Drosophila melanogaster: one gene and its partner. The protein of the gene in region 2 interacts with the protein of the main gene of each other region in a pairwise test. Each region holds a gene or a part of one and is shown on either strand. Other genes may lie near its edges. The genes, in order: HLH3B and Ttc1.

Region 1 (9,723 bases), on a different chromosome or scaffold from region 2:
CATAACACACACACACACACTCTATACACAGACACGTGCATACACCGACAATTGTATATGTAATGCTGTAATAATCATGATAATATTTAGATTCGTTGATGATAATGAGCAAAGAAGCCGTAATGATAATGATAATAAATGAATACAACAAAATCCAACAAATAAAAAGAGAAACAAATACAATATTTAAACAAAGTAAAACCTTCTGTTGTTGCCTTTCCTTTTAACCACCGTATCCACAGTATCATTTTGTTCAGTGTGTGAACCTTTCGTCTGCATCTTCATTTCCCCTCTCCGAAGTAATTGGGCTCGGAATGGGTGGGATAACATCGATTCTAATCGATTTAATCGATTCGCCATACTTAATGTTTAAGTATAATTATTTGTAATTTCAGTTAAACATGCGTTTTTTTTTTAAATCATTTCAATATTATTTCTTACTTAAACGATGGCTTGTGCATTCTGATTGAGCTTCTAGGAAATGGTGGCTTGCAACTGTGTGAAATGGCTGGGTCTGCTCTGTTTTGGGCCTCCCAAGCGAATCACCCACAAAAACAACATAAAGCTTAATCCATACGAATAGCAATCCACATCTGTATATCTTTTTCCTTCTTTGGCTCTGAATCGTTTTGTAGGCTCGCAATCGAACAGCGCCCTCAATAGCAGCGGAAGTGGCGGAAGCGGAAACGGAGAGGCAGCCGGCTCGGGTTCCGGATCCGGATCGGGCTCAGGAGGCGGGAACGGCGGGGATAACGATGCTGGCGACAGTGGAGCAATCGCATCTGGAGGCGGAGCAGCAGAAACCGAGGCAGCGGCGTCGGGTTAGCGCGAGCGAGTAGCTCTTTAAATGTAATGTTATTAGCAGGTTTTTCGCTCGGCCCGGGGATTCAGTTAACCCATGTCGGCCAAGAGCGAGATGACAACACCACACACCACACACACACATACACACACGCAGCTACACTCGAAATATGAAAGAGATGTCGGATGTCCCAGCAGAAGCTATGAGTAAATGAAATGAGACAAAGGAATTCACTACACAAAACGCCCAGTATCCTTACACCCCCACACAACAATAAACCCATCCACACACACACACACACACTAACACAAACACACACACACACACATGTATGTATGTATATCTAGCTATATGCATTGGGCGCAAGCAAATATTTAGCATAAAATCGAAATAAAACCAAAAATCCACTTTAAACTATGCATAAATAATTAAAATAATTATCTGTACTATTAAAGAGAAAGAGAAATCCCCGAAGGAATGTTGAGAAATAATCGGAAAACCCCTCGCCCGCGTCCCAAACCTTCAATATAGTAAATAACACTTAACAACCAGATCGCGGAACGTAATATAAATTAAGTCAAAAAAAAAAACAAAAAGCAGAAGCAACTTGAATGAAATACTTAGTGAAATAAATCAAAATTTTTGCCCATTTAACGTTTATATATATGCGCGGTTATACAAATATATATAACGATCACAGCAGTTAGCAATCCATAGTAAAAGTAAACAATTAAAGGCGGCAAGTAAGAGGAACTAGCAAAAGGGCGGATACAACATAAACTAAACTCGCGCAAGTGCATCTATATAAATACGATATAGATATTATATAAACATAGATATATATATATATATATATATATATATATACATATATATATATATATACGAGATATTAACAAGAGTAGTAATCTCAGTAGCAACCCCCGGAACCACTCACCCCCCTTTCCAATCCTTGAACCGGAAACTCCCCAAATAACGTGAAAAAAAAAAGAAAGAAAAGCAACTTTCCACGCATAGCAACATTTTCCGTGGCCTGTTCTTAAGTAACGTATAGCATGTACGATTATCTAAGAAAGCGATCGTCAAAATGCAATATACACTAAACACACTATACATAAATACAAGAAATATAACAAATTGAGCAACAAGTAAGTGAATGTATGAATGAGTAAATCGCTTTTAGCGCGCGACGCCACCCATTAACTTAAAAAAAAACAAAAAACAATGCAAATAATGAGATAATGAGATGATAGTGGAGCCACAATCTTGATATATGTAAAAGTAATCGACAAAAGGACATTTAGCTGCAATTGAAAATTTAAACTAATTTAATACAAATTGAAGTAAAATACAATGAAACCGATGATGGTTTTAGTACGTAAGGCCTTAGATCGATCAACCGAAAACTTCTGCGCAACTATAGTATTGGTTCCAATCTATCTACTATATATACCTATGACAACCACCCCAGTTAAACTGCTTAGATCTCGTTTTAAAAATTTATGTCTGCGATTATGTATGTCCCAGCACTTTAACCCATTTACAAACCACTAAGTAAGCAAAGCGAAAATGATAGCAAAAAGGCAAAAAGGCAAAGGGCAAAGGGCAAAAGCAAAAGCAAAACCAAGTCTATTTGTATGTATTTCCATAGAAATCCTTATATATTGTACGAGAACATATTTTTTTTTTTTACTAACTAAATGATACATTTATACAATTAATGAACGTTGAGTTTTGTGGCATCAAAACTAATTAAATTTAACTATATACATATATGTACACACACCCACACAAGAACACATTCGAGCATTCAGACATACTCACACGCACATACGTCTATAATTTCAAATAAATTAGAAAGAAAAAGAAACCGAAGATTTCCAAACTAAGACCCAAACATTTTAGTAATAATCTAAGTAAACAGCAGACAAGTTATATAAATCTTTAAACACACCCACACACACACACACACCGTTTATTTGTATTTGAAAATGTCAACAGATGAAAAATGACAGCCCAAATCAATATATATTCAAACATATATATGCATAGAAAAAACCAACTTATATATGATGAACAACTTCAGCGTTTCGCTTTAATTATGAGGCAACAACCTCATGAGAAATTCAAACCAAACATTAACTTAATTAACAAATAAACACAAAACTAAACTAAACAATAACAACAGGAAACCCCCAAATTCGAAGAGGAAATGAAAATGAACACGAGACAAATGCGTAAAGAAAACATTAATTTAAAAACAATAAAAATTACAAACAAAAATATATATAGAAATGCGTATTTATTCATTTCGGTGGCAAAATGTAGTATACTTTTGGGCTGAGAAAGTATATTTACAAATGTCTGGTTGTAGCTTGAAAACCGATAATTTTCAACTTACCGTGCAAAAATAAAAAATATTTGTGGCTTTCTTGATTCTCAACACCAGGCCACCATAATCAGTAGAAGGTGTCAACTTCTGGAATTCCAGTTCGTCAAAAATCGAATATTTACAAACTCGATTTTCTCCAAAACATGTTTAATAGTCATAGCTAACTATTACTATCACTATTTAAACGATCCTGGGAAAAAAATTTTTTTTTCACTTTTCAGATTTTCGGTAAGGGGTACCATCATTAAAATTTGCGAAAAATTGCAAAATTTTCGAAATTCCAATTTTCAATACAGGTCGATAGGGAATTTTGTTACGAATTCAACGAGGTATGACATTCCACTTTTTGACAACTATTTTTATTGCTATAAAAAAAAAATTAGTATAATTACACAATTTGTGGCAAATTTATTAGATTTTTGGATTTTAGATGTTTTTTTTTTAGATTGGCTCACCATCCTAATTTTATGATTTATGTTACTTGCTTACTGATTTCGTTCGATTGGAAATTCAATTCACAGTTGCAAGTTTTTTTTTTTAATGATTTGTCGAATTTGCTTTTTATTTTAAACCGTAAATTATTTAGAATGAAATTTGAATAAACAATACAAACTATAACTATTGATTCTGCATCTGCAATTTGCACTATTAACTTTGTAATTTATTGGTAGATAAAAAAAATAGCAAATCGGGGATAGTATACTATCTCCGAATGCTTTGGCAAAGCCGGTATCCACTTTTTCCAAGATTCCATCCATTAGATTCCTTATTCTACGTCCTGCGCCGTTTGCCCAGACTGAGATCGGTGGCTCCGCCTTCCGGCTTGAGGCGTCGCTTGCTACTCCGTCCGCTGGCCGATTTTACACCGGATACGGTGCCACTGATTCGCTGAGTCTCGGCCATGGCCAGCGGAGCAGTGGTCAACGGCAGGGGTGGGCCGTTTAACGGATGCCCAAGTGGGAGTGTAGACTCCAGGAGAAGCTCGCTTTTGACAACGGCTCCCGGGGCAATCATCAGCAGGTCGTTGCCAGCGTTTCCGTTGGCATGTCCGTGCCCAATGCCATTCCTGTGCATCTGCCCGTCGGTGCGTTCACACTTGATGTGCCGTACAGGCGGAACATCTGGATTCTCCAGATTCTCCCCGTCCGCCGCATGGCCATTGGCCATCCTATTGTCGTTGTTGTTCGGCTCCATTTGAGCCCTGATCGGATGCGAGGGCGCCTGCCGCTGCTGCCACTCGAGGATGCCCGTCAGCAGCTTAATGTACTTAATGGCCGAGCGCAGGATCTCGTTCTTCGATAGCTTCTTGTCCGGCGGATGTGTGGGCACCAGCTTGCGCAGCTCTGCAAAGGCACCGGACACGTTCTGCTGGCGCCATCGCTCCCTTGTGTTGGTGAACACCTTGCGCACACCGCCGGTGGCTCCTACGCCGCTGCCGCCGCCACTGGATGCATTGCCGCCGGAGCCATTGCCTCCACCACCGCCGCTACCGCCGACTGAGCTTCCGGAGCTGGCCGGCGCGGTCAGCAGTCCGTTGCGGGAGTGACTGCGCGGCGAACTGGACAGTGAGCGATTCGCTGCGGGCGGAACAAAGGAATCGAGCGTTATGTATATAAGAAATTGGGAACTACGGGATGTTCTAGGAGCTCTAAAGTTTTAAAGACTAAGCCTCACCATCCGCCTGGTTGCCATTCAGAACGATGTAATCGCGAAGATCCTCCTCGTCCTCCTCCGTGTCGTTGAGCGAGAAGTCGGAAAGCTCCGCGTCACCGTCTCCATCGGATATGGACTCCGTCTTGGGCTGCAGGTGGGGCGTGGCATGTCGGAGCAGGGCGGGCGGATGCCTGCCAGCGGCAGTGTCCCGCATGCTACCATTACCGTTCAGGTGCCCGGATCGCGGTGACTCGTTGGTCTGGCTGTGGCCGGAGGATCCGCTCGAGGCGGTGCTCCGTTCGTCCGCGTTATCCGCTCCGTTCGAGCTGCTCGGTAGCCAGGCCATCTCTCCGATTCGCCGGAGCAGAGGATACGTGCGTTCTGTTGCGTTCGAAGCGCAGCAGCAAAGTGAGCAACTGACTGGGTAACTGGCACTGTGTGTCTGGGAACCAACCCCCTATGGACAGAGGGCGGGGCCAATGGCGCAGCATCCACCCCCGGACGAGGCATACACACAAAATGGGCGTACTCGTACATACATATGTATGTACGTTTGGGTTACCAATGTTGGGCTGACTTCTTACCGAGCCTGTTACTTTTTGATTAGATTAGATACCAAAACATAAAACGAGTATGAGCAAACTATAATATATATTAGCATAAGCAGCTGTCTTAGAAGTAAATGAAATTCATAATTTATTTAGTAATTTAAACGTATCCAATGCCAATCCAGTAACTGCACATGCCAGGACAACAAACATTCTCAGTTGTTCCTTTCATAGAGCCCAATGTATCTATACACGACTACTGATGACCGATGGGATGGGGTATGCCCACACTTAGACGCTTCTTGGGCTGCTTTGCCGGCGGCTGCGAGGGTCGCGCCACATCGCCCACCTGCTCCCGATCCCGGTCCTGTTCCTTTCGCTCACCCGGTGTCTCCGGCATGGCGGACTCCATTGCAAACTGGGGCGATGTCCTGTCCCCGGGCGCACCATTTGCACTGGGCACAAGCACGGGCGTTAGATTCTGTCTCATCATGGGCGAGGGATTGACGAATATCATCTTGTCGAGCATCTCCTCGCAAATACCGGCGTGACCCTCGCGCACCACGCGCGGCCGGAAGATGTACGAGGTGGCCGACATGCGGGCATCCATATACTGCACCTGCACCTCCACGGGAAAGTCGCTGCCCAGTACCTCGCCAATCTCAAACGGAGCGCTGTCCGCCACGTGCAGTCGCAGCGGCAGGCGCGGCGACATCTTGAAGGTGACGCGCCGCACGAACCGCGACAGGTCGCCGCCATCGCGACCTGGGCGCAGGTAGACGCCCCACGTCGGCTCCAGCATGTAGGGCATGTCCGGATCGCACTGTTCCATGCGGCAGCCGATCACGATGTCCCGACTGATCACACAGCGCCCGGTGACAGTGATCGGCGGAGTGCGGTTGCAGCTCACCCGCTGGCAGTCATCGACCACATTCTGATGGCGCAGGAGATTTGTGTAGCTCATCACGATTCAAAAAAAAAAAAAAAAAAAAAACTAATTTCAATTTATGTTTAACTAAAAATTTTTCTACGAAAATTTGAAGGCAACTTTAACTTGTTTGCTTGGTGTGATGCTTTTTCAAATCGAGAGCGACAGCAAAAACAGAAGCCCACTAGATATGCATTTAACTAAAGTAATAACTAATGTACATATAATTTTTTATAGATTTTATCATACTACCTAATAACCGTTGCATGTCTGCTACCTTGTTTTCCCCCTCGAAGCAGATGTTAATCCCAACTTGGGATTAAGGTTCTTCAAAAGTTTCGCGAAAGGCGTTGAAATTTCAACGCCTTCGTCGTCCTACAACGGGCCATCTCCGATTTTTTCACGCCTTAAACTGTGATTTTTTCTAATTAATTAACGCAGAATTTGTTGGTGGACTAGGGAAGAGTTAGCGGACTTGGGAGTACGCAATGCGCAGACTCCGAAGGGCGGAGTTAAGTGCTAAGTCAGAGGAATTTGGGGTTGGTGCGGCCCGGGCATTTACTTGGCCGGGAATATTCCGGGCACAGCGACGTTACTTCAGTTCAGCGGGGCAGCTGAATTCTAATGTGGACATTTTGAGGATAGCGAGACCATTCAGTGCAATCTGTAGGTGCTCCAAGGCCAAGGACTTCGTTTAAAGGTCTGCTTCAAGTCCACCTGATCTGAGCCCCGTATCTGTTATATTCCTTCATAAGTTGCCAACCGAGCAGCTCTAAACGAGACTTCCCAAGGAAACCTAGTTTGGAGAATATGACACTATATTTCTGATATTAATTTAAACTGTTCATTACATTGATATAATTTTTTTACAGACATCTATCTCATCAGAAAGTAGTCAAGTGCTGAAGTAATTTCACTTGAGCTTGTATCTCCGTTTGTGCTTACAGTTCAACGCTGGGACGGAATTGTGGTGCCAGTAATGCCACCTGATGTGCTACGTCCATCCTCTAATCGCAATCCATATTCATGGGTCCACAGGTCCTCGGACCTACGCCACTTGGACGTTGAAAGGGTGGGCCTTGGGAACTCGGCTCTAATCCCGCTCACAGTCCGACCGACACTCACCCGAAATCACCACCCGGAATCCGATTAGCGGCAATCAAATGAAATCACAGCACATCAAAACGCGACGGGGAGTGGCGAAGTGCGGCAAGTCAACAGTCGCAGCATCAAAATCAAATTAGCAGCAGTTTGGTGGCTAATTCGAACGCACTTTATCATTTTCGGGCAGGCGTCTGTGACTTTGTGGCACGTGTGTGGCCGCGATAGATAAGAGCGAGCCCCAGCAAATGCCAGCAAACTCCGGCTAGCTTGGGCAAACACCACACACGTGGCCACAAAGGAGCTGCGTGTGGAGTGGGTGCCGGGTCAAATGGATTTTCACACCCACTCGACGTCGGCAAAGCCGCCAATTAATAGAATTCAATTATTCAAAGCCACCGCAGGCCGATGGGACGGCTGATAAGGCATAAAGACATCCTTGGGCACTTCGATCGGATTAGGATAATAAAAAATGCTCCGAAAAAAAAAGAAGTTGTGGGGTCCATAAAAATATGCTTTTATGAGGGGGTAGCTAAAATCATTTCCTATTTATCAGATGCCTCAACTTTTAACCCTTCAATTGCGAAGACTAAAAGCCAAATTCAATGCACAGAAATTGCAAGTAATAATCATTTGTAACTGCATAGCAGTAGTATCAGCATCGAACCGAACCACTCGACCGCTCGGAGTTCATCAACCCCTCGTGGAAAGACGGGGAATCCCCTGCTGGCAGGTATGTGTAACGCCACCTGTGGGCCACAGCGCGCAACAGCCAGCTGGGCGGAGGCGGAAAAGCCAGGGAAAATCAGCTGTCGCTATCATCCCACTCCGTACGTGTTTCAGCGCACGCCGCGCACACCTGCCCAGGTAGAGCTTCCACGGGACAAACGGGAAACAGAAGCCCCCAAAAGCTTGGCGCCACTTTCAACTTTTCATCCGTGCTAGAGAGCCGAGCTGCTAGACCGATGCACTGCGTTGACTGCGGACTGGCGCTCTGGTGCACTGCTGGCCGCACTTGGACGATGACCAGGTGGGTGGGTGAGTAATGCCGTTGCGAAATGCCAGTGCCAGTGCGAGTTCGCACAATTCATGGTGGGGCAGGGACGGGTCCGAGTGCAAAAAGCGTCCGAGAAAGCCGTAGGCAGTGAAAAGCCGCCGCTCACGTGGCGAACTGCGTGACTTGGCCAGCAAATCCGCCGCCCAGCCGGCTCCCCGGAAAACACCCCTCGGAAAACGTGCTGCCAGCCGCCCACCAGGCAGCCCCAAAAAGGCAGGGGATTCCATAGCTTTCCTTAACCTGCAGTTGGTGCGTGGGGCTTGGATTGACACTTGGCATCGGCAGTGCCATGTAACGTATCCCACAGCATAGATAAAAACCAAAAGAAACTAGTATTCAATAGAAGCTATGAAAAAGAAAGATATCCAACATTATAGCAATCTATAAATGGGGTTTCTTGCTATGGAAAAGGGAGTCTTTGGCATTCCAATTACTTGCTTTTGTTGTTCGCGCAAAAGCTTCGCCCAAGGGTTAATGTTTGGGTCCGAGTATCTCAGCCGACCAGCGATTTCCCGAGCGACTGCGATTCCCAGCGATTCTCAGCGACGGCGGAGAGCAGCGAGTGAGTGTGAGAAAATTCTGGGAATGCGAGTGCACGGGGGCTTATACACCGGAGCTTGCGATGCGAGCACTAGTGTTCGTGCGAATTTAGAGCCAGAAGGTCGACAACGCGTTCGTCGCACAGTAGAAAGTATTGCCATATACCAAATAAATCGCAACAACGACCTGTCGAATCACGCAAACAAACAGCTTCGTTTTTTTTTTTTTAATTTCGACCAGAAACAAACCGTTATTCTTTGGTGCCAGTGTTAGTGTCAAGTGTATCGAGCTGAGTGACATATAGCCACAGCCAAAAAGTGAGACCATAAGTGAGATTCCAAACAGAAGGCAGCAGCAGCCTAATCGCAGCCTAATCGCAAAAAAGTGCAGCTGGGTGAGAGCGAGAGCGAGTGTGTAAGTGCAATTGTCACGTTGTTGCAATAAAGCTGCAAAGAAAAATCTCAGCAAGAGGCGCTAGATAGACCATTATCATATTGCCAATACAAAACAACGCATTGGGCAGGCAGCTTACATAAATAACTCGGTTCATAACGTCCAATGGCGCACTTACACATATGTACATATAGTGTTTATTAATAAGTGCACGTTGCACACCGAGCAAAGCGTAAACAAAAGCCCACATCAAAATACCTGACCCTACCGAACAATGCTCCGGGAATGCCCCACCACTTCCTTCCTTGC
Region 2 (9,356 bases):
CTAGATGGATAATGGTTAGCCTTAATATATACATACATCATCGTAGGAGGAGTATACTTACTCAGATCGAGTACGTTCTCCACCTGAACCAGATTGACTACATTTGTAAGCGGCAATAGCGATTCCTTCTCATTCAAAAACTTTTGGCACGTGCGACGCAGCAGGAAGTAAACGCGAATGGCTCGGCGTGCCTTTTCCACCTCCCCGCAGGGAAGTCGTCGCGTAAAGTTGATTCCAGTAAGTGGCGTTCCCGTGGGAGGCAGTAGAATGGTGGAGTCCATGCACAGGAATTCCACGTTCAGTTGCGCCTTTCGCATCTCGTTGTATTCGTCTTCGAACAGGTCTAGGAAGATGTCCTCCGACTTGTAGAAGTTACGGATCACCACCATCGACTGATTGCGGGCGCTGAAGAGCAGATCCTGTTGTGCGGCGGTTATGCAGCGCGAATCATCCGAGCTGGGACGGGTGAAAGTGACCAGTAACTCCAAGGCAATCTCCACGGTAATCAACCGAATGCGGGACGCTTTAGGGAATTCAAATGGAATTATTAAAGAGCTAATGATAACCGGAGTTCGAACAGTTGTACATACATGGCTGACTGGACTGGGTGATGATGTTTAACAGATGCTCAATCAAGGCTGTCTTATAACTGAAGGCGCCACGGGTTGATTTTGCAAGAACCTGCTCGAACCACTCATTCTTGATGCCTATATGGAAAGGTACATAAAGATATTTATTAAGGAGACTATGATAGATGCATACGATTGATTAGTACGGGCAGTGGACGAGTTACATACCATCTGAACGGATTGGGACATGTACCAGAATGTGACATTTTCATTACACACAAAGAAAGCAATTAGAATGAAGCAAAAATGGGGTGATCAGAGCAATGGAAAGTTACACAACATTAGCCAAAAAAAACGTCAAATTGAGTTAAGGGAAATATCCATGAATATTACCTCTATTGTGCGACATAGCATATATGAGGCACAGCGACAGCAGGGCAAGGTAATCGTTTTCGGTGCAGTCCAAAGCATGCAGGACCGTGTCTAAAAACGGTTTGGCCATCTCAGCAAAGTCAGCCTTCGTTGAGGAAGATGACTTCTGCAGCAGCTGCTTTTCCTCGTCAGTTATGTTGCGCAGTTTAATCTGCTCCGCTTCAACCGCATCTGCTTGAGAGTCCAGTTCTGTGGTGGCTGGGGATGAGGACTCCACGCCACTGTCCTCGCTAAGGGCATAGCTGGACGAGCTGGACTGACCGGTGACTGTATCCAAGGCCTGTTCGAGACTCTCGTCGGGCTCGCCGAAGCCAGGCACAACCACCTCGCGGTGCTCAACGTATGAATTAAGAATCTCGGCTGCACCCTCCTTAAAAACGCTGTGGTCACCATTGAGGATAACCCAGGCCAGAGCGTGCACCAGAGGGGCATGCGAAACCACCAGGAAGACCAATGAGAGCAGGAAAAGGGCCACGATGGAGCTCACTCGCGGATTGTGCATCTCCTGTATGTCGATGTCCACATTGCGATTAAGCACAGCAGCTAGATTCTGGGTAACCACTGCCAGTGAGGGCGGGGGCGGAGCTGGTGTAAGTGAGAATATGTACAGAGGCACGAATAGCTTATGCAGCAAGTGCTCGGTTAACACCGCGTTCAGATCCTTGATTTCCAGTAGAAGAATGTCACTCAAATAATGCAAATGATCCAGATGCTCGGCAACCAAATTGGACAGCTTTTGATTCGATTGATGGCTGCGGATGAATTAAGAAATCAATACTATAAAACGAGGGACTATATTACAATAACTCTTACTCTATATCTGTGCGAACACAAGTGTCTAGTTCAAGAATGTGTTTGCCGATAAACCAGACCAGATTACTGAAATATGGAGCAGCCGTTCTAGGGAGAAAAAAATAGTTTAATGGAGCTCATGGGACTGAAGGCAAAGGTCGTACTTGTCTCGAATAAAACGCAACATGCTTGGATTTTGAACCTTGTAGACATTTAAGGAAATGGTGCGCACTGCAATTCTCACCATTGACTCGGGATGATTAAAGAACTTAATAGCCTCTGTATACAAGGGAAAGTCATTTGTGTGCTGTAAGGAATATGTCACATTAAATGGATGTAAATATGTGTTTTAGGCAATGCAAACCTCATTGTAAAAGAAGTGTATTGTGTGAGTGTTTAACTTTAGACTTAGCGTCTTTAAAAAAAGTATATAATAGCCCATCACATCCTCGTCGGAGAAGTCAAACTTGTGCACCATGATAGAATTTACATGGTTGTTGCTCAACAGATAATCTGCAACGTCATAGGAATGATTACGTCTACTGTATTATAGAAACTGTTGAAAATTGTACTTACACAGGGACGTCTCGTTGCGTATGTTCTCAAAGAGGATGTTGAGAGTCTGAAGGAGCTGCACGCAGACGAAACTCGAGCCTCCACTCTTTTGTCGCATTATGTGCAGGAAATACGATAGCATATTCTTCTCCAAGAAGAAGCTGTTGCAAATAATTAGATTAAGGTTTATTACATTGAGATGCTTAATACTCACTCAAACACCAGCGAGTCATGCTGGTCGCCCCAAATCAGGATCTCTGCGATGCAGCGCAGCGACTCCACCAGCAGGCCACGATTACTTTCCGACACGGTGGTGTTCTTCTCCAGAATGCTGTACAGGTACTTAAGGTGCTCCAGCGACAAGCGGTTTTTGGGCCGCCCACCCCAGGGTCCGCCAAACCAGCTGCGACTCCGGAACATGTTGGCAACTAGGATGGAATCAACTGGCCACGATCCGCCTGACTGCTCTCATATCAGGGTAAGGAGGAGTGCGGGAGCGCTGTTCTCTTGGATCTTTGCATGCACTACTGCTCACGGTCACGCCACTGGGTTGGCCCACAATAAGGGGGCACCTAATGCCTGCGATTGCACGAATCTAATATTGTAATTTGCGAATGGCGATTTTTTCCAACAAATTGCTCTTCTTCTTCACGGGGAACACAAGTGTCACAGTCAGCTGTTGCTTCCGCCCATATTTATGGTTATCGGTATCGAAGTAACAGAGATGACAAGTGGCTATTTTGTTGTGATTGCATGAGAACTGCGACTGGTTCACGACTTTTAAAAACCTCTCAAAAGAACCGTTTGAATTTTGTAAAACCAGACAGTAAAATTTGGAACAAACCTCATATATTAATAGCATATCACACCATGCATTTTACATTAAATATAATTAATGGATTTTTTTGGTACCGTTTGTTATGAAAATGGGTTCACATTTGCATATTCTACAGAGGTGAAAATGTACGAGAACTGAATTTGATACGTTTTGCTACAGTTTGACTATTATTTTACACATCATCCACGAATACGGCTTTATTTGTTGATCTGCAGAGCATTAGCTAGCTAGGTTTTTATTTAAAGTTGATGGAATACGAGCCCGTGTTGGGATCCTGTTGCATTTGGAAATTCTGTGTAGACAGTCCGAACGGTTTGAGTATCATGTTGCCCAGGTCCTTTAAGCTGGACATCATCTCGTTTTTGAGCTTCTCGTTGCGCTCGTTTATAATTGGCGGCAGCCGAATCTGAGCCTCGCGAGCCTCCTGCTGACCGGGATCGATCTCAGTAACTTTTTTGTAGTCCTCCAGAGCCTCGTCGGGCTTGTCTTCTTGCTCATAGAGCTTGGCGCGCCTGTAAGATGTAATTAGACTTTAGAAATTTTAAGGGAGATATTAAAATAAAGACCTTAAAAGCACCCTCACATACTCCGGCCACAGTTCTATAGCCTTTGTGCAGTCGTCGATGGCCGCTTTGTTGGCCTCCAGCTTAATCTTGGCAGCAGCCCTGTTTCCGTAGAGAACTGCTCGCTCCTTGGAGCTGGCCGAGGGGCAAATGTCTAAGGCTTCTGTGTAGGTCTTGGCGGCGCCTTCGGCGTCGTCATTTTTGAACAACTCGTTGCCCTCAACTTTCAGCTTATCGGCCTTTTCTTTGTTAGCTGTCAGCTGCTCTGGGCTGAGATCCTTCTCCCGTTCGCGCAACTCCTCAATGGTTAGCTCAGAGTCCACTGTCGTTGGTGTCGCGATGGAATCTCCACCAGCCGCGCCCTGTTCCGCTTCGTCATCCAACGCCAGCTGGTTTTGCTTCTCCACGATCTCATCCACGTCCTTTTCGCTCTGCCGCGTGCTGGTGGCCTCTTTTTCGGTTATCTCCTCCCCGATCGCATCATGGAATTCGTCGTCACTGTTGGCGTTGCCTGCCATTCTTTTTAAAATTGATCCTTACCGAATTTACTGGAGATTTCGGTTTGTTGTTCAGCAACAAATAAAGCTCCTCATGCTAACGATAACTGTGCATATCGATAACACCGATGTCGTACAGTGTTGACAAAGGTAGGTTTCTGATTAGGTACCTTCCCAAGCTAAGAAATGTTAGGTACAGATAATTTTTAAAACAAATAATTTAAGGATAATCCTTAATGTTGTATTTGGCAAAGATGAAGACCAATTTAAAATAAACATTTAATCTTTTACAGCTTCCCTTGATAAGGGAAGCTGTAAATAAACTCTTTCCAACACTACCGCTTGTTAACGATTTGACTGCTGCCCATGCGAATTGGTAAATACGGGAAAAATGGACTTAGGAGCTTATAAATTGAGTGAATACATCCCCGCCAAGCCGCTGGTCGGTAATCTGGAGTTGTGTTTCACGGACGAAGAGCAGGTGAGTTAGGAGCTACCGTGAGAATAGCCTTTTCAAGCCTATCTTTGTAGAGACCCACCGAAACATGCGGCCAACTTAAATGCTGCGATATTTTAAAGTTCCCATTCGCCCGCCCTGATTTCCAGCCAAGTTCAGTGGAGATAAAGGAGAGCAAGGTGCTCGTGTCTGCTGATAAGGCTACAGAGACAAAACGCGTGGTGGAGCTGACTCTGGAGTCCACGTTCGATTACCAGCCCGGGGATACCATTGGAATTTTGCCTGCTAATAAACTCGAACAAGTGGAAAGTCTGCTCCATCGGCTGGAACTGTTAGACCAGGCCGACACCACTTGCCACTTAAAGTTGGTGTTCAACTGCGCCAATAAGAATGCTAAGCTACCCGCCCACATTCCAGCAACTACTACTCCCCGGGAGATCCTTACCCACTGCCTCTCCCTTAATTTTGTTCCGCAGAAGCAGCTCCTCAGCGCCCTGGCCGGATTTACAAGCGATGACAAAGAGCGTTGTTTCCTGTCCTGTCTGTCCTCTAAACAGGCCACCGAGTACTACCAATCGCTGATATTAGAGCAAGGCCTGCTTTTCATAGACATTCTTGAAGTGTGCGTCAACTGCAGGCCACCACTGGCATTCCTGGCAGAGCACTTGCCACGGCTGCTGCCGCGACCGTACTCCATTGCCAACAGTCCCTTGGAGGCTAGTAATCGCGAACTTCGCGTTATCTACTCGCTGCTCAGCCTCAAACCTGGAGTCACAACCAGCATGTTGGAGGCGGCTGCACAGCAAAGCAGTCCGGAGCATTCCAAAAAAGTAGTTATCTACCCACGAATGAGCAACCTATTCCGTTACACAGAGCGGGATGTGGGCAGAAACCAAATACTTATTGCTGTTGGCACAGGTCTGGCGCCTTTTCTTGGATTCTTAGCCCACAAGGAAGAGCTTATAAAACAGCAGCCGCAACAGCCAAGCGGGCAATCCTGGCTCTACATTGGTGCCAAGACCCCAGAAGCAGTTCTTAAGCGTGAAAAACTAATGGAGTGGCAGGAATCTTCGTTGCTCGAGCGCCTACGGATGTGTTACTCGCGAGGCGAATCCCCCAGCTACGTGCAACATATGTTGGAGGAGGACTGTGAGGATCTGGTCGAGTTCCTGATGAAGTCAGAGACTGTGTTGTACATTTGTGCCGATGGCGCCAAGATTTCGCAGTCCATTGCAGGTGTTTTAAGTCGTTGCTTGCAGAAGGCTATGCATCTCACTGAAGAAGAAGCTTCGCAGCTGTTAAAAAAACTGAGGAAGCAGGACAAATACCGCGAGGATGTTTGGCTGTAATGGACAAGTCTTAGGTGCAGTCAAAATAAAAGCTTCATTAATTAAGCCCTATAAATAAATACCTTAATATATTAGTCGTTTGTAACTCTTACAGAAAATTTGAATTTTTAGTGTGTTTGTTGTTTTTACGTACGGTTAAGGTCGTTTATTTTCATAATTGAAAATAAGTGTAGCAAAGGAACCACTTCCACTGCTCATTTGAGTAGCTAATGTATGCAAGTATTTGCACTCAGATGTTTGTAAATCAATTGCTATTATTTTAACTGCAGCCTCAATGTAAATAATTATAAAACAGAAAGCTTTGGTCGAATAAGTAAATAACGATATATTTAACAACACAAAATAAAAATTACAGTGCAAGGTAAACTAAATACATACAATTGTGAGGGCCATCTTCAATGATCGAAGTGGATGGGGACGACTACGTGTACTAAATGGATTTGGGTCTGTGTATAAAATTGACTTAAGTGGTAAATTGCAAAATATATCTAAATAATGGTAGAATATAGATTACGACTTAGGTTTCAAGCAAATTAAACGTGCACACATAAAACATAAAACGTATAGTAGGGTTTGCTCTTTGAATTTAACCGATTGGTAAAGCGCTAATGTATCGTTATTGTTTCTCCGCTTCTCTAAATATCTAGATCTTTTTATTTATTATACTGTTTACGTTTATTTTGGCAAGTCGTTTTGACCTTGCACAATAATATGCATTTTGTATTTTATCTACGTTTAAGTTTAATTGAAATAGAGCCAATTCTTTTAGTGTATACTAATATAATTACGAATCGATCAAAATTGATGTCAGCTTCTTCTTTCTCCTATTCGTCCCTTTACATTTGCAATAAAAGTTGCGTATAAAAAATTATGCTACTTTATGTTGTTCTTTGTTTGGTTTCAAGACTTAAGTTCCATTTTACATTTACGTTTTTAATTGCAAATTTTGCGTTCGTCTTAAATGCGTTTGCGAATATGTAATGTCGGGTATGTTTCGGTTTCCAAAAAGGCAATCTAACCCCGTTTCTACTGCCCCAAAATACTATCCGTTCGTTGCCTTGCCTAATACTCATTTAAGCTAAACTAAGAAAATCAAGTATATTTTCGATTAATAATTAAGCTCTTTAAAAATTATGAATGCATAATTGTAGGCCAAATATTGGGATTTCATTTCGTATATAAAATTTAACTATGAACCGATCTGCAGCAGCAGCAATCCATTTTCCCTATTAATATCAAAATTGCAAGTAAAATATAATCCCTATCGGTAAGTGTATATATAACAGATAAAAAAGCTAACACCGGCTGGCGAAAGATCCTTGAATGCACTCCTTTTTTCATTCGCCTTCGTTGTGTTTTCGTAAAATATCTGTAGTCTGGCGACTAGCCCACAGATATACTTTTCGAATAGAACTTGTGGTGGTGGGAAATAGCATAAAATATCGAACTGAGAGGATAATGGAAAAATAGGTAGTTTAAACCTTCTTCAATATATTCTCTTCGGCAATTGGCATTGCTTATGATTCCCGTTGGGAGTAGGTTTAGTGTACGTATACCACTTCTATATGATCTATATAGTCTTTCTAGGGACAATATTTCAATATTTCACTTTAGCTTTGACACACACATTACGGCGTTAAATAACATCTCTATTGTGATAGGGGCTTGTATAGAATTACAATTTTCTTTGTGCGTATGGCAAATATCTCCAAGGAAGGAACAAGGGAATCTACTTTAATCTGTTCTTTTGTGGCGTTTGGTTAGTCTTACGTTTGTACTAATTAAAATGGAATATCGAACATTTATCCCTCAATCCCGTCCACACTGCGAATATCAGCTAATATACATACAAGCTCTGTCTAGCTGGCTCTAATTAGTTATCTGTTGCATCGATATCTGTATTCTATGGGAAATGCATAAATTGTGGAGATAATCTTGCTGTGTGTCGCTTGCTGCTGCTAGCTCTAGTCCTAATGGCACTTGTTACACTCATTTCGACTTGCTATATCTATCGCCTTCGTTTTGTTTTGATTTTTTTTTTTTGTTTTTTGGTAATGTACAACAAGTATTGCATGTTCTCTGTTAGGGTTCGTTTGCACTTACTGACTACGACGAATTTTATAAAGAGTCGCATAATGCTGATTTGATAAAATCGCTTAAATCACAATTATGTATATATACGGGTATATAAAGAGTAATCAAACTTATGTCCCTACATTTAATAATACAGTATCTATGTATATCATATGTGCGTGTTTGTGTGCGTTGTTGAAGTAAGCTAATTTGCCATAGGACAATCTAATCTAAGCGATAACCCCGCCCCCCTGCCATCGATGAACTGCTCGAGCGATGCGATATGGATCCACGGTTTGGCGACGGTTTCCTTCGAGTTTTTCGGCCCCTGCTCATCTCTCTGTCCTCGCTGACTCGTGCTGCAAAAAGAAGAGATAAAATCCTATGATTACTTATTGTTGTTAGGTATTCAGCTCGGTTTACTGCACTACAGAAGAGCAAAGGGGCAAACAGGGAACGGGATAGCGAATAATTAACACATCGACCTCTAATAATTGTCATCACCCTGAAATTCGTTTATGGGCCCAAGAATGTACAATTATGTGCACTGAAATATATAAATGGACTTGAAAATTACAGACTTCGATGCTTGCACTAAAATGTGCCACGAATACAAAGTATGTTAATTTAACACATTAAAGTGGTTCTTGCAGTTGGGAATATATAAATATAAGTCCCACAAAATGAATTCATGTAACATCATTAATTTGCATTTATATAAGTGAATACTAGCAAGTTAAGCTCATGGTTTTGATATTGTTAAATGCCATGTTTTTAATATGAGGTCGAGCACACAATTTGTTCGGGAAGCGTAAGTCAAATGAGCTAATCAAACAACTTTTTCCTTATCGGCGGGCCCCTTATCACCGCATTTGATATAACCAGCTGATAGCTGGCCAAAGAAGTCGTTAAAAATAGATCGCTACACTCACGACAGGTGAAAGGACCTTGGGTAAGGGGGTTCGAGGCCAGGTGAACTGCACATTATTAATAATAATGCATTATCAATCCCATTTTATGGCGCCCCTTTGGATGTGTTATATTTGGGGGGCATCTGCATAATCTTTTGGCGTCATTCGCCCGTTTTGTTCGACCGCCTTCCCCGCCCAGATATCTCTGTTGCTGAAAAGAACTATTGTTATGCCATGTGAGAGCGGAGCACGTCAATTATCAGCACAATAATTGGTTATATTTATCAGCATGTGAAGCGGCACCCGCTCCAAAGTCACGC

The links.
Region 1: the proteins of Ttc1 (region 2) and HLH3B interact in a two-hybrid assay, tested with the Drosophila melanogaster proteins (one large-scale study listed by BioGRID).

What each region holds. Positions count from the first base shown.
Region 1 is NC_004354.4:2,676,466-2,686,188, forward strand, and holds HLH3B (helix loop helix protein 3B), read right to left. Parts: upstream 5,259-9,723; 5' UTR 5,194-5,258; coding exon 4,869-5,193; intron 4,772-4,868; coding exon 3,966-4,771; 3' UTR 3,734-3,965; downstream 1-3,733. Other genes in the region: sgg (shaggy), read left to right, coding at 636-826; CG2652 (uncharacterized protein), read right to left, coding at 5,652-6,359.
Region 2 is NT_033777.3:16,438,651-16,448,006, forward strand, and holds Ttc1 (tetratricopeptide repeat domain 1), read right to left. Parts: upstream 4,358-9,356; 5' UTR 4,268-4,357; coding exon 3,753-4,267; intron 3,699-3,752; coding exon 3,422-3,698; 3' UTR 3,193-3,421; downstream 1-3,192. Other genes in the region: ema (endosomal maturation defective), read right to left, coding at 62-523, 591-707, 963-1,753, 1,815-1,901, 1,958-2,100, 2,158-2,306, 2,370-2,509, 2,563-2,768; CG14882 (uncharacterized protein), read left to right, coding at 4,638-4,727, 4,778-6,052.